Linked DNA regions of Arabidopsis thaliana. The protein of the gene in region 2 interacts with the protein of the main gene of each other region in a pairwise test. Each region holds a gene or a part of one and is shown on either strand. Other genes may lie near its edges.

Region 1 (7,153 bases), on a different chromosome or scaffold from region 2:
ATAACGTACAGATCTGATGACATCAAGATTGAGCTCGTCGGGACGGAGGAGCATATCGGCACTAGGGTTCCGGTAGAACATGAACTCACGTTCTCCATCAGATCTTAGTGTCACGAACGCAAGTGCAGTCCTGGCTCCAGTGTCGAAATTGATACCTTCAGCAGAGACACCGTTCTGTTTCAAGATTCCGGCGAGCATGTGACCGAACTCGTCGTCACCGAGTTTTCCAACGAAAGCGGCACGACCGCCTAGACGGGAAATGGCGATGGCAACGTTGGCAGGTGCACCACCGGGGGCTTTGATGAAGCCAGGAGCATCGGCGAGGGATACACCGGAGACGGTTGGGACGAAATCGATGAGCATTTCACCGAAGCTCACGATCAAGCTTTTCTCGCCGTTAGATGCAGCCATTTTTAGTCGGAGTGTTTTGATCGGACGATTAAGATTGAGCAAAATAGAGAGAGATAGAGAGAGATTATGTTTTGGATATAATGAGAGGTATTAGAGAGAATCAAGGGTTTATATAGAGGTATTAGGGTGAGTGGTTTAGTCAAATCCACAAGACTTTTAATTAATACAAATTCAAATTTATCCATTTAAAGATTGATCAGATAAGATATCTAAACTGTGTTTGGTAACTTATTTTTTAATCGTAATATTCTATTGGTTGTTTACATATATGTTATGATTTGGTGAGATTTAGAGTAAATAGTGATTAATGTTTTTGACCAGATTTTATGCTTCTTCAATGGGACCTAGACGACGTATTTCACAAGGTTAATTTATTAGGGGCTTATCCGTTGTTAAGATAGTACTATTAAGGGGAGTAAAAGATACTATTAATCCTCCTCTTTTGACTCCGAATATTTTGTTTGTTTTGGATAACTTTCTTTTTCAATAAAATACCATTCATGGATAATTTTTTAGGCAAATCTACCAAAATCGAAATGTATTAATGAATGATTTGTTATAATTTAATTTCGCAAGGTTAATTACGAGGGGCTTATATCCGTTGTTGGATAAATATGTTAATATCCTCCTCTAATTTCGATTATCTCATTTGTTAGGATAACTTTTATTTCCGATTACACAAGATATTATCTCATGTAAATCTACTAAATCGAGAAATGCAAATCTGTTACAAATTTTATAAACGGGGCTAGCTTTGACATGTATGATCTTTTTATTTATCAGAGACTATCTACCAAGTACCAACACTATTTGGTTTCCTATTTCCCAAGTTATATTTTATGCATCAGTTATCACTACTAACTAACGACTATCCTTCTTCTTAGACGTTTTATTCCACGTAATTAAAGCGATTTATTGATTTCCAAAAAAAAAAAAAAAAGTGAAGAGAATTTTTAATAAATGCTAAATAAAATGGATATTTTAAAACGCAACGAAAGAAAACCATATGTTACAGATCTTTTTTTTTGGATTACTGATTCATATATATGTGGATGATTTATAATGTCTATAAAAATCTAGAGTTGCGAATTATCTAGGCATGACCAAAATCTAACTGTAACTGTATTTCGGACCGTAATCGGACCGTTTATTAACCGTAACCCAACCGTAACCGTATAAAACGGTTAATAACCGTAACTGTTAACCGTGAAAATAGATTCATTACGGTTAAAAAAATATAATAACCGTAACCGTATCAAAACCGTTGGTTAACCGTACGTTTAACCGCGCGGTTAACCGTATTATTAAAACCTTAAAAATATAGTTGTAACTGTGTATAATTCTAAATAAATAATTATTTTACTAAAATAGTAACTTAAATCGTTTAATATGCCCACTAATACGATCGAAGTTACTCCACTACTCTTTTTACCATAAATCAAATCATAAGTAGTTCATATTATTATTATTTATACTCTAAAAACTGTTTCTTAGTGCTCATAACATCTTTTCTTTATTATTGTTTTTGTTTGAAAAATATAATTAATTAAATCATTATAATTATAACCATTAATTTGTATATTCATTGGTTTATTTAAAAAAAATAGATAGCTGATTCGCTATAAATATTTGAAACACATAATCACGTAAAATAATTATTATTTGATATATCACTATTTATTTATTTATTTTATTATAAAGATTAATATAATATTTTGTCTCATATATTAATTATATCATAATTATCAAATAACCGTAACCGTATCTAACCATAACCGTATTTAACCGTAACCGTTTTAACCGTATATATAACGGTTAATGTTAAGGTTAAAAAAAGTTATAATCATATACGGTGGTTAATAAACCGTAACCGTAATAACCGTAACCGTGGTCATGCCTAAAACTATCTGGATAGGTTTCGATGATAACAGTGATATAAGCTAAATCATGAAATATAAGTAACTGAATATATTACTATGTAATAAGTTTTTTGCTATTCAAAATTTCTATGATTAAAAAAACTTAGCTAATGTAGTTTGGTAGTCAAATCGTATACTAAACCATCATTAGCTGGTTATCAATAGCATTTTAAAGAAAGTTAATTAAACCGGCTGAATTGGCCTGGTTGACACGAACAAAATGAATGCTAGAAATTAGAGAAATTTTGTTAGTACAAGGATGATTATGTAAATGAAGGATAATAAAGGGGTCAATTTTAACATTTATTAAAAGTCATGGACACACCGGTCTAACGGGTGCGTCGGTCGGCGAGAATTACGCTGTAAAAAATAAAATAAAATAAACATGTAATGAAAGAAAAAAAAAGAACATGAGGAATAATCATACGAGGCGAAGCGCACCGGAGGAACCATAAGTCGATAAACCCAAAGCTTAGATGAACGGTGAGTTGACTTCTTTCCGATTTTGACCCAATCATCTATCGCCACGTCATAGGGTACTGCGTCCTCTGCAATCCATACCCTGAACCGGCACCTTCTCTGTCTCTCCCCCAAATCGAAAACCTAATTCGATCGTCGTCTCCGACCTACATCTGCCGGAAAATATCTTTTGACCAGTAAGATTGTTTTATTCCTTACACCATTATTTCGGGTTTTTAATTTTCGATTTTGGATTGATCGATTAAGCCACTTAGACTAGTCCCTGCGAAAGAATGAGACTGAGAAGTTGGACATCTCGATACTTTTGGAAACCCCGATTTGTTGATGACTCTTGAATCTATGGGACGGTGAATCCCAAAGAATGGTTCCATTTTAAGTTTGTTTTGTATTGTTGGTGGAGGCTGGATGATTTTGAGAGCACTTGTACTTGAGCTTTGTTCTCATATCTTGAATTAGACAGTGGAATAGAAAAGATGACAACTTTGTATTAGTAAGATGATGAACACTTGTAGCTCTTCTTGCTAGATATTTGATTAGTGGAATTGCTGTTTTCCCTTTTTTTGAGTTGCAGTGGATTTCAGGATTGATAATGGAGTAGCTGCTGGGATGATGATGGGGATTCCTGTTGAGCTTGAGGTTACCACGGTTGAGAATCATAATGAAATGGGTGAAAGCTCTGGTCAAGCAATGATTGAGCAAGATGATGACAACCATAATGAACTCGGTGAAAATTCTGGTGAGCAAGATGAGAAGGTGGATCTTGATTCTATTCCTCTGGCTGTTGCAGATATGACAGAGGCTCAAGGAGATGAGCCTTACGTTGGCCAGGAGTTCGAATCTGAAGCAGCGGCTCATGGTTTTTATAATGCGTATGCTACTAAAGTAGGGTTCGTCATCCGTGTTAGTAAACTGTCACGGTCAAGGCATGATGGATCTCCCATAGGCAGGCAACTTGTTTGTAACAAGGAAGGTTACAGGTTGCCTAGCAAGCGGGATAAGGTTATTAGACAAAGAGCGGAAACAAGGGTTGGATGTAAAGCAATGATCTTGATTAGAAAAGAGAACTCTGGTAAATGGGTTATCACAAAGTTTGTCAAGGAGCACAATCACTCTTTGATGCCTGGCAGAGTTCGAAGGGGTTGCATTTATGATCAATATCCGGTTAGTTGTTACTCTCTTTCGTTGGTCAATATTTCTTTATATTCAGCCATTGCATTTGAAAATCCAAATTGGCGTTTCTTGGTTAGCTGGTTAATATATATATATATGCTGATGTGATACTGGTTCGTGACTAGTTGCTATATAGCATATTCATATTCATGTGCTGGTGTTTTGATTTTGCTTATATATCAGTTGTTACTAGAAAAGACTTAAATTCTAAAACTTTGCTCTCCTCATTTGCAGAACGAACACGACAAAATTCAGGAACTGATGCAGCAGCTAGCAGCAGAGAAAAAGAGAGCGGCTACTTACAAAAGACATCTGGAGATGCTATTTGAACAGATCGAACAGCACAACGAAAGCCTTTCTAAGAGAATCCAACACATAGTAGACAATGTGAGGAATCTGGAACAGAGAGATCATCAACAGAACCACCAAGTATAGTCTTTTGGTCTCTGGTTTTTCAGCACTTTGATTTAGGAGATAGATCTTCTCTTCCCCCATTTTCTCTCTTTAATAAAGATTTTTCTTGTCGAAAACAAAAGAGCTTCAATTGCCTTAAAGAAAGTTTTGTTTATTCTTCTTCTTCTTCTGTTCTGACATTGGTTTCGTTCGGATGATGCATAGCCATAGGTTAGTGCACATAAAGTGAAGGGTTTTTACTTTTTACGCTCTAATTAAATCGGCATTCTCCTGAAGATCTTTCTGCTGGTAAAAACTAGTAAGCTATATATACTACAGATTGGAAGAATCCTAAAACTCTATTTAAGATCACAAATCAGAAAGTGAAGAATCAAATCAGCTTGTTAATCACCACCTTTCATCGTCTAAGATGTTGCACTTGGATGAAACTGAAAATCCAAGCTAATGGACCACATATTGTGTAAAGTCTGCAAGAGTGGAAAGAAGTGTGAAATTGCATTGTAGGGACGATGTAGTCATCAAATACAGAAATGTTAATCTTATGCCAGGTGGAGTTTGACGAGGTAGGTAAGGTTACTCGTGTATCATCTAAGGGAGAGACTGCCAAAAGATACAGAAAAATAGCTCCCTGAAATTAAAGAGGCCCTTGCAACTGCAAGAGCAATGCGACATGTACATGAATTGTTACACAGAATAATTTGGTAAACTACATGAGATCTTGCATTTGGATGAAACCGAAAATCCAGGAAGCCTCAACTATAGACTATAGAACCCTTTTGGTTTGCAATACATGGTATTATCCACCACAGCTTCCGCAGCCTAGCACCACTTCACCGCATTCCGACTCCCCAATAAATTTATGTAAGCGTTCCACCTCTTCCGCATTTCCTCCATAACCATGAACATGCAGCATCTTCACTTGGAACGGAGGCATGGTCACATCGCCTGTGTAACTCTATCCAGCCCCTGGAAAAGCATCAAGAAGATGGATGTAAAGGCTCAACCACTAAGTCCCTAATCTCTGACTCTCTTTAGATATATTAGCTAATGATACGTACCTGGATGATTAGAGTTTCAAGCTTTGGAGACTGCTCAATCAGAAGTGGCAGCAGTTTCCAACCTCTTTTGTTCGTACTCCCAAAAGACAAGCTTACCAGATTGTTGAACACCGGTAGAAGTAGTCCACGTCTAACACAGCGAAGAATCACCTGAAACACAAACACACGCTCTTAGTGAATGTCCATGCAAAGAAAGAAAGTGGCAAACGTAAAGAAAATACGCTCATAATTAAGTATAGTAAACCGTTTTTCTTCGCTATATTAAGTTTTCAAACCCTAACATCATCAACTAATTATAGGATAATTAGGAAACAAAACTTTTTTTGGGGGATTTAAGGAAGTTCGTAACGACAACGTTATAAAGGGAAAACGATAATTTCTTGTGTCGTCATAACAATCGCGACATGTGAACTAATTAAACTTGTTATAAATACATTTGAAAGAGTCGGGGACCACACCCTTTAATAAACTCACAAACACGAGAATGGACGCCTGAGAGTTCTAGATAGTAGATACCATCTTTTCCCTTCTTGATACCATCTTGGCCATGTTTGTGTGACAGTTAATTATGAAGTGAAATCACAAGAATAGTCCCAAGGGCCAAGGATGTATGCATAATTAACGCGTACATGCCGTTTTCTCTAGTTTAGACTACTTTTTTTTTGTTTCTTTAAATAGAAGTAGACTACTTTTTTATTTCTTTAAATAAAAGCAAGTACAAAGTATCGAATTTGAAAGAGTGAAATAGTAATTCCAAAAAGCAAGAAAAACGTGGAATGTGGGAGAGATGGTTCATAAATATAATGAAGGCCAATTAGAGCAACAACTTATACGATTAAAAAAAGACAAGGAAAGACTTGATTAACTAATCTTATTAAGTATCTCCGGTTCGGCTTGACGACCGCTTATTGCTTTTGTTGGTTGACTATTTTTAGCCACACTTGAAATAGGACTTGAGACTTTGATTTAGAGGAACAGTCTTTCCACAAGAAGCCATAAGACGATAAGCTTCTTTCCATTGTACAGGATCTTTAATATACTTACACATACATGGTCCTGGTATTATTAGTCTATCACAACACTTCAACCACGTGGGTCTATCGTTCAACTTCAAATGTTGCATGCATAAATGAAGTGACTCTTTGCAATAAGAGAGCGTTGGAGTGGGGAATGATGTCAAGAGTACAACCAAGGCGATGAACATCAATGAAATGTTCTTCATTTTCTGATAACTTAGTATCTAATGTTGTATATATGTTTCTAGGTCTTTAAATAGAAAACTGAAATCAGAAACATGTGGCAATAATGAGAAGTGGTGATATTCTATTTTTACAAAGCAATTAGTATTCAAAACAAACCATTGAATAGTTCAAAAGGCCGATTCCATAGGAAGTGGAGATAAGAGCACTTTATTTGGTATTTTATTGCCTAATGCGAAATGCAAGCATCTTGATTCGCTAAGCCATTTAAAAATGATTGAACGTAATGCAAAAAAAAAAACGAATGTAGAAATTGACCAAAATTGTTTTCAAAAAACTTCGAGTGTTTGGTCGAACCATATAAATTGTCCCTTTATTTATTAGGCTCAAGTTAGTGACATTTATATATACTAGATTGTTTGTTGTTTTGGTAGGAGAAAAAAAACAAAACAAGCACCATGTTCTTGTATTCTCATTCACTATGTTAGAAAAGACATTGAAA
Region 2 (7,660 bases):
GGCAATTTGTCTGTGCCAAAGAAGGTTTCAGAAATATGAATGAAAAGCGCACCAAGGACAGGGAGATCAAGCGTCCCAGGACCATCACTCGAGTCGGTTGCAAAGCCTCCCTCTCTGTTAAGATGCAGGATTCCGGTAAATGGCTTGTCTCTGGCTTTGTCAAAGACCACAACCATGAGCTTGTTCCTCCCGACCAAGTTCACTGTCTGCGTTCCCACAGGCAAATCTCTGGCCCTGCCAAGACTTTGATTGACACACTTCAAGCTGCAGGAATGGGTCCCCGCAGAATCATGTCCGCCCTCATCAAAGAGTATGGTGGCATCAGCAAGGTTGGTTTCACCGAAGTGGACTGTAGGAATTATATGAGGAACAACCGCCAGAAGAGCATAGAAGGAGAGATTCAGCTTCTTCTTGACTACTTGAGGCAGATGAATGCTGACAACCCAAACTTCTTTTATTCTGTTCAGGGAAGCGAAGATCAGTCTGTTGGTAATGTCTTCTGGGCTGATCCTAAAGCTATAATGGATTTCACTCACTTTGGAGACACCGTTACATTTGATACAACCTACAGGTCCAACAGGTACCGTTTGCCTTTCGCACCCTTCACTGGTGTAAATCACCATGGCCAACCCATTCTTTTCGGCTGTGCCTTTATCATCAATGAAACTGAGGCTTCATTTGTATGGCTTTTCAATACGTGGCTAGCCGCAATGTCCGCCCACCCTCCTGTCTCAATCACCACCGATCATGATGCTGTTATACGTGCAGCCATCATGCACGTTTTTCCTGGTGCCCGCCATCGCTTTTGCAAATGGCATATTTTAAAGAAATGTCAGGAGAAGCTGTCGCATGTCTTCCTCAAGCATCCTTCGTTTGAGTCAGATTTCCACAAATGTGTCAATCTGACAGAGTCGGTTGAGGATTTTGAGAGATGCTGGTTTTCACTTCTTGACAAGTATGAGCTAAGAGATCATGAGTGGCTACAAGCAATATACTCCGATCGCCGGCAGTGGGTCCCAGTATATCTCCGTGATACCTTTTTTGCCGACATGTCCTTAACTCATCGTAGTGATAGTATCAATTCATATTTTGATGGTTATATAAACGCTTCAACCAATCTAAGCCAGTTCTTTAAGCTGTATGAAAAAGCTTTGGAGAGTCGTCTCGAGAAAGAAGTTAAAGCAGATTATGACACAATGAACTCACCTCCTGTTCTGAAGACTCCATCTCCAATGGAGAAGCAGGCGTCTGAACTTTACACAAGGAAGTTGTTTATGAGATTTCAGGAAGAACTAGTTGGAACCCTGACTTTCATGGCATCCAAAGCTGACGATGATGGGGATCTTGTTACCTACCAGGTTGCGAAATATGGAGAGGCTCACAAGGCTCATTTCGTTAAGTTCAACGTTTTGGAGATGAGAGCAAATTGCAGTTGCCAGATGTTTGAGTTCTCTGGCATCATTTGCAGACATATATTGGCAGTCTTCCGGGTCACCAATCTCCTTACACTTCCACCTTACTACATCCTAAAAAGATGGACCAGAAATGCCAAAAGCAGTGTTATATTTGATGATTATAATTTGCATGCGTATGCTAATTACCTGGAGTCTCATACCGTCCGATACAACACCTTACGTCACAAAGCTTCTAATTTTGTGCAAGAAGCTGGAAAATCTCTGTATACTTGTGATGTCGCAGTTGTTGCTCTGCAAGAAGCTGCCAAGACTGTGTCCCTGGCAATGAATAAGGAAGTTAGAAGAACTATGGCGAACAGGCATTTTAAAGCGAGTTCTGTAACTGGTGGAAAACATCAGCAAGAAGTGCTGGCGCAACCTGAGCCCGAGGTGAGGATCATTTTCTTTTCGATACTTGTTTTCTTTTTGATATAATAGCAATCAAATTTGTTGCTCTAAAAAATAGTTATATACGTTTGAAGTATCGTTTGTGCGGGTTTGCCCCATACAATACAATCATTGCTTTGTCTCCTTGACGGTACCATAATGCTGATTGCTCTGTTAACGTTTGACTAATGAGCTCGTGATTCACATATGCATGTTAAGAGTATGGTCTTCATTTTGCCATTGTGAGCCTTTGTTCCGTACAATCTGCAAGGTCCTCAATTTTGCTATGTGCTTTTACTGCTGACTAATTGCATGACCGTATTTCCTCTACTTTCGCAGGACGAAATGGACAAGAAGATTAATCAGCTCAGAAACGAGCTGGAATTAGCAAACAGGAAATGCGAAGCTTACAGGACTAACCTACTTTCAGTTTTGAAAGAAATGGAAGACCAAAAGTTACAAGTGTCCATCAAAGTGCAGAACATCAAAATTAGCTTGAAGGATAATCTGTGAAACAAGCAACAAATTCCGACTGCTATTCTCATCTATAACATATTGCTCATGTACTATATCTCTTATAGGGTTTTTGAAAGAGGGACCCAATTTTCAGGATTTCCCTGTTCTTACAGTAGGTAGCCTTTGTAATAGATTGTACTCCCAATCATTTCCTTACTGAGTAAGAGCATGAAGTTGATTCCCATAAATGTTTGCATACCAAGTTACCAACCACAGTACGTGAGTTGAATTGTGATGTTATGTATCCAGCAGATTGCACTCACTCTTTCAAGCTTAGTCTAGCATTTTGTACCTTGAGGGATAGCTGAAACTTCTGTTCTTCCATATCTCTCAAAATAGACAGCAGGTTTGCTCGATAAACTTCACATCGCTGGCCTGTCCTCTCCAACTCAGCTGTCAGTTCAAGTATCGTCCTCTCTTTTTCACCCTGGCATTGAAGTAAGTACTTATTCCCAAGGAACAGAGGACATCAATGTTAAAGAATTATCAAATACCAGTATTCGCTTACCCCTGGATGATTCGTTGCATTTGCTGTTTCTCGAGCTTCCTCGGACGGGTAAGCTTCCCCATTGGGAAGCCTAGTTCCAGGTGTTCTGTTACTTGCAGCAGCAACCTTCTTGGCAGCTTCATCCAAAGCATCCATTGCAACTTTATAGATCTGAATAGATTTGGCACCTTCCTCGACATACTTGGTTGCTTCTTGGCGTAGACTGTTGAAGCAGAGATTTAAAGATTCTTGACAGCCATTTGAAAACTCAGGTTGTTCCTCAGTGCCTCTAATCTTTGCTTCTTTGGTCCATCGCCTCAGTAGATACCGAGATGGAAGAGCAAGAACATTTTTGGCACTGAACACCGCCAATATGTGTCTACATATAATCCCTGAATACTCAAACATTTGACAGCTGCAATTAGCTTTCACCTCAAGAGAGTCAAAACTGACAGTATGACCTTTGTGAACTTCTCCGAACTTAGCGACACGATAAGTAGTGTGAGTTCCTGAATCACTAATTATATTTGCAGGAATTGCAAGGGTCTCAACAAACTCCTCCTGAAACTTGATGAATGCTGCCCTTGTATAGAGGCTAGCAGCTTGCTTTTCCATGGGAGAGGGCGTCTTCATAACTGGAGTAGAGTTAGTTGCTTCGTAATCTGCTTTCAGTTCTTTCTCACGCCAACTATCAATTGCTTTCTCATACTGTTTTATGAGCATTTGCATTGTAGTTGATGCATCCACAAACCCTTGGAAGAATGAGTTCAAAATGCTGCTTCCTTCATTTGTAGACAGCTCTCCATAAAAGGTGTCTCGGATGAAAACACGGACCCACTGTTGTCTAGCATTATAAATGGACTGGAGCCAGTCGTTATCCTCCATATAATATCTCCTGACGATAGAGTCCCAAGATGCCTCAAACTCGGCAGCCGTTTCTGTCTCAGTAACGCAATTTATAAATTCGGATTCAAAGGTAGGATGAGCCTGAAAGACGTGAGCAAGTTTCTCCTCAGTTTCCTCGAAGATGAGGGGCTGGCTGAAACGAAGGCGGGTTTGACTGAAAACTCGAGAAACAGCAACCTGTATCAGGCGATCTGGTTCAACTGTAATAGAAGGAGGAGGGGGAGCAGACATTGCTTGAAGCCAAGTTTGGAAAAGCCACGCAAAGGAGGACTCAGACTCGTTGAGTATGAGAGCACAACCAAAAAGAACAGGCTGCCCATGATGGTTGAACCCGGTGAAGGCAGCAAATGGCACTTGATACCTCTTACCCCTCCTATAGGTGGTGTCAAAGACTAGGGTATCACCAAAGTAGGTGTAATTCAACCTGCAAGTTGGATCCGCCCAGAAAACATTCCCACAATCGTCCTCAATTGCATATAAGAAACCAGGATTCTCGAGCTGCCTACGTTTCAGATAGTTCAATACATGCTCGACCCTGCTCATGCTTACTTCTTCCACTAATTCTGCCACTATCCCAAATGGAAAGTTTTGGGTATCAGAAGGAACACAGTTGCAGAAGCGACTGACTTATCAATTCGGGAAAGACAAACTGCAGAGAGAATTTTAGAGATGATTACCTGCGATTATAGCCATTCGCAAGATATGGCTTTAAAACCCTAAACTTGTAACTGTAACTGAATCAATGGCTTCCGCGACCGGACGGAGTACGCTTTAAGGTTTGCTGTTGGATCCAACCGAACTCGGTGACGGGTTTGTCTATCTAAGCCTACACTCTCCTGCCGTTTTTATAACATAAAACGGCAAGCTGTTAGTTTACCATAACCAATGTTGCGAGTTGGGACTGGTAGGCAGGCCTAGTCCTTAATTTTGGGCCCTTAAAATAATAAATTAAGTCGGGCCTATTTGAGTTTTTTGGTCCGTCAACAAACAATTATTGAGTGCTTTAAACAAAGAAAACTACAAGGCTCGAAAAGGCACGTAGGCCCAACAAAGCAGAAATGCCGAAAACATGGCACACAGGCCCAAAATAGAAAAAATCAAAAAGGCACAGAAGCCCAACAAGCAACCACAAGAAACAGCGAACTTCTTCTTGATTCAACTTTGATCGGAAAAACCGAAGAACAAAAACACCAGTCCAAGGAGAGAGAATAGAATAGCTACAAAACGTGAATAACAAAAGGGACTCTACTTGAAAGAGCATTTGAAGCAAAAAAAAACTTTCAAGTTTGGCCGGTTTAAAATACGGTTGATCTCATCCAAAAGAGAGAGCAGAGGGGGTTTCATTTTTATATGACAGGTACATACTATATAGGCAGAGAACGATCAACCATCTCTTTGTCATCAAATGTGACCTTTGACTAGGGGCCTCCATATTTGTGGAATGACTAGGGGCTTTTTACCCACCCATACTTCCGACAAGCAGCTAGACTGCATTGCTGCATATTCTGTTCTGCAGTTAGGCTAAGCAGACACTTCTTTTGCTTGTCGGTTGCTGCAATAATCACAAGCCAATAATGACACTGACTTATCCAACAACATATACATCCCATTTTGATTGCAGTTGAATACCTGAAAACACAGGAACCACTCTATGGATATGCACTTGATCGGGCCATGGTGGTGGTTCTATCATAATTAGGTAATTTTCAAAAGGAAGTGTAGAATCCATGATAAACGAATGCATAGTGAATAATCGATGATATCTGGAAGAAAACACTCTATTGATATCACAATCACTCAAGGAAAAGCTCGTGCTAGAAATTGGTGCACAAGCTGAAAACAGCTTACAGAGAGAGCCTGATGAAGGAAAAAACTAGAGAGAGATATAAAAGCTAGAAGCTTGCAGTTACCTCCGAAAAGCCAAACTTCTCATGGAATTTCTTTGTGTTACAGTCCAGCATTTCTCTAAGGCTGCAGTCAATGTTGTTCTTTTTGACAAGTTTAAACCTCGATTCGACCTTCTTCTTCAATCCATGGTGAAAGAATTCAGGATAAGAAGCCACTTCATCCATGCCTCTTCCCATCACCTGGACGAGGAATCTGATCCTAGGCTGTAGTGAATTCTTAACACTCTTAATCAAGATTTGGGGATAACCAGTGACCATGGTTGCTATCTGGGAATCTCCAAACCCACACTCCTTCAAATAATCATAATTTGGTTTGAGAATCTTGTTAACGTCTCTGCACAAAAGTTGTGGGAAATTCATGACCACCGACTTAATGCCATCCTCACTCAGGCCAACGGATGATTTCAAGAATTCAGTGGTAGGCCGTAACCTTTTATCAACACTGTACCCCATAAGAAATGGGTTCTTCACCAGAACTTTGCCAATCATCCCATCTTGATCAAGGCCAAGGCTAGCAAGAAAGCTGACGATCACTGTCAGCTTGGTGTCGATGCTGTAGCTGATAAGCCTTGGGTTAAAAAGTATCATTTTGCCAAGTTGAGTCTCAGGCACACCTAACGCTTGAAAGAAAGCAAGAAGGGGACAGAGTTTCTCCTCCACGCTATGAGAGAGTATTGGAGGAAATTTGGTAATGGCGGAAGCAACTTCCCGAGGATTCCTTCCAAGACTGGAGAGGCACTCGACCATCGGGATGAGTCTCTCATCGAGGCGTAAAGTCAGGATTTTGGGGCATCGAGAGACGATGTAAGGGAGTTTTCTCTCTTGGATACCAACAATGTTACTCAGGTAGTCCCAGTTTTCTGATGCCACATCGCTTTGAGCCTTTTCCAACTGTTTGCATTTTCTCAACATCTTGTCGATACTCGGATCATCGAAACCTTTGTCCCTGAAGAACCACATGATGCTGCTCGTATTTGTCACCTCCATATAAACGCCACTACAACACACCAATTTTGCTTAACTTAGAGATGATTCGAGCTTTAACAAGGAAGTAGAGAGGAATTTACCTTGGAGGAGAGCCTTTCCGGCTATCCAATTGAACTGAAAGTGAGAAGCTTATCCACACGGAGGAGTGAGGACCTTCTTTCTTTCTTATACCCCCTGTAGAGTAAATGACTGTTATATCCCTCAATCCTTCTCGCGTGACTAAACCCTCCCCTTCTTCTCTCTCCGTCAAAATCTGCAAAACCCTAACTTTTCGAATCAGCGGCAGATAACGATGGTGCCTTCCTCCAAAGCCGTCGTTTTTGCAAGGCAGATGGCGAAGCAGATTCGTGTTACGACGCCGTCGATGTCCGCAACACGCTTTCTCTCAACGGGCGACAATGGTCAAGTAGACGAGCAGCAGAACCCTCCAGAGCCCTTACCCAACAGACCCTTGCGAGGGGAGAGATCTTCCAACTCTCACAGAGAACCACCCGCTAGACAAGCCCACAACCTTGGAAAGAGTGATACTACTCTGTCTGACGATGGCTTCCTCGAACAGTTCAAGCTTGGAGTCAATCAGGATTCACGGGAAACCCCCAAACCGGAACAATACCCGCAGGAGCCCTTACCGCCGCCTGAGGATTCCGATGAGATCTTCAAGAAGATGAAGGAAGGAGGTCTCATCCCTAACGCCGTCGCCATGCTTGACGGCCTCTGCAAAGATGGGCTTGTACAAGAGGCCATGAAGCTTTTCGGATTGATGCGTGACAAGGGTACAATCCCTGAGGTCGTTATCTACACTGCTGTCGTTGAGGCCTTTTGCAAGGCTCATAAAATTGAAGACGCTAAGAGGATTTTCAGGAAAATGCAGAACAATGGGATTGCCCCTAATGCCTTCAGCTACGGTGTGTTGGTTCAGGGATTGTATAATTGCAACATGCTTGACGATGCTGTTGCTTTCTGTAGTGAGATGCTTGAGTCTGGTCACTCTCCTAACGTCCCCACTTTCGTTGAAT

The links. The genes of interacting proteins can lie anywhere in the genome.
Region 1: the proteins of FRS9 (region 2) and AT3G59470 interact in a two-hybrid assay, tested with the Arabidopsis thaliana proteins (one large-scale study listed by BioGRID).

The regions. Positions count from the first base shown.
Region 1 is NC_003074.8:21,976,361-21,983,513, reverse strand, and holds AT3G59470 (Far-red impaired responsive (FAR1) family protein), read left to right. Parts: upstream 1-2,674; 5' UTR 2,675-2,985; coding exon 2,986-2,986; exon of another isoform or gene 2,987-3,381; coding exon 3,382-3,971; intron 3,972-4,214; coding exon 4,215-4,415; 3' UTR 4,416-4,704; downstream 4,705-7,153. Other genes in the region: AT3G59480 (pfkB-like carbohydrate kinase family protein), read right to left, coding at 10-411; AT3G59460 (F-box/LRR protein), read right to left, coding at 5,331-5,360, 5,453-5,602, 5,990-6,001; AT3G59455 (Bifunctional inhibitor/lipid-transfer protein/seed storage 2S albumin superfamily protein), read right to left, coding at 6,384-6,674.
Region 2 is NC_003075.7:17,901,396-17,909,055, reverse strand, and holds FRS9 (FAR1-related sequence 9), read right to left. Parts: upstream 4,525-7,660; 5' UTR 4,444-4,524; coding exon 4,428-4,443; intron 4,320-4,427; coding exon 2,866-4,319; intron 2,785-2,865; coding exon 2,617-2,784; 3' UTR 2,355-2,616; downstream 1-2,354. Other genes in the region: FRS5 (FAR1-related sequence 5), read left to right, coding at 1-1,844, 2,181-2,354; pde191 (Mitochondrial transcription termination factor family protein), read right to left, coding at 5,152-5,260, 5,336-5,379, 5,661-6,644; AT4G38150 (Pentatricopeptide repeat (PPR) superfamily protein), read left to right, coding at 6,937-7,660. UniProt on the Arabidopsis thaliana protein: Putative transcription activator involved in regulating light control of development. May act as a negative regulator specific to phyB signaling.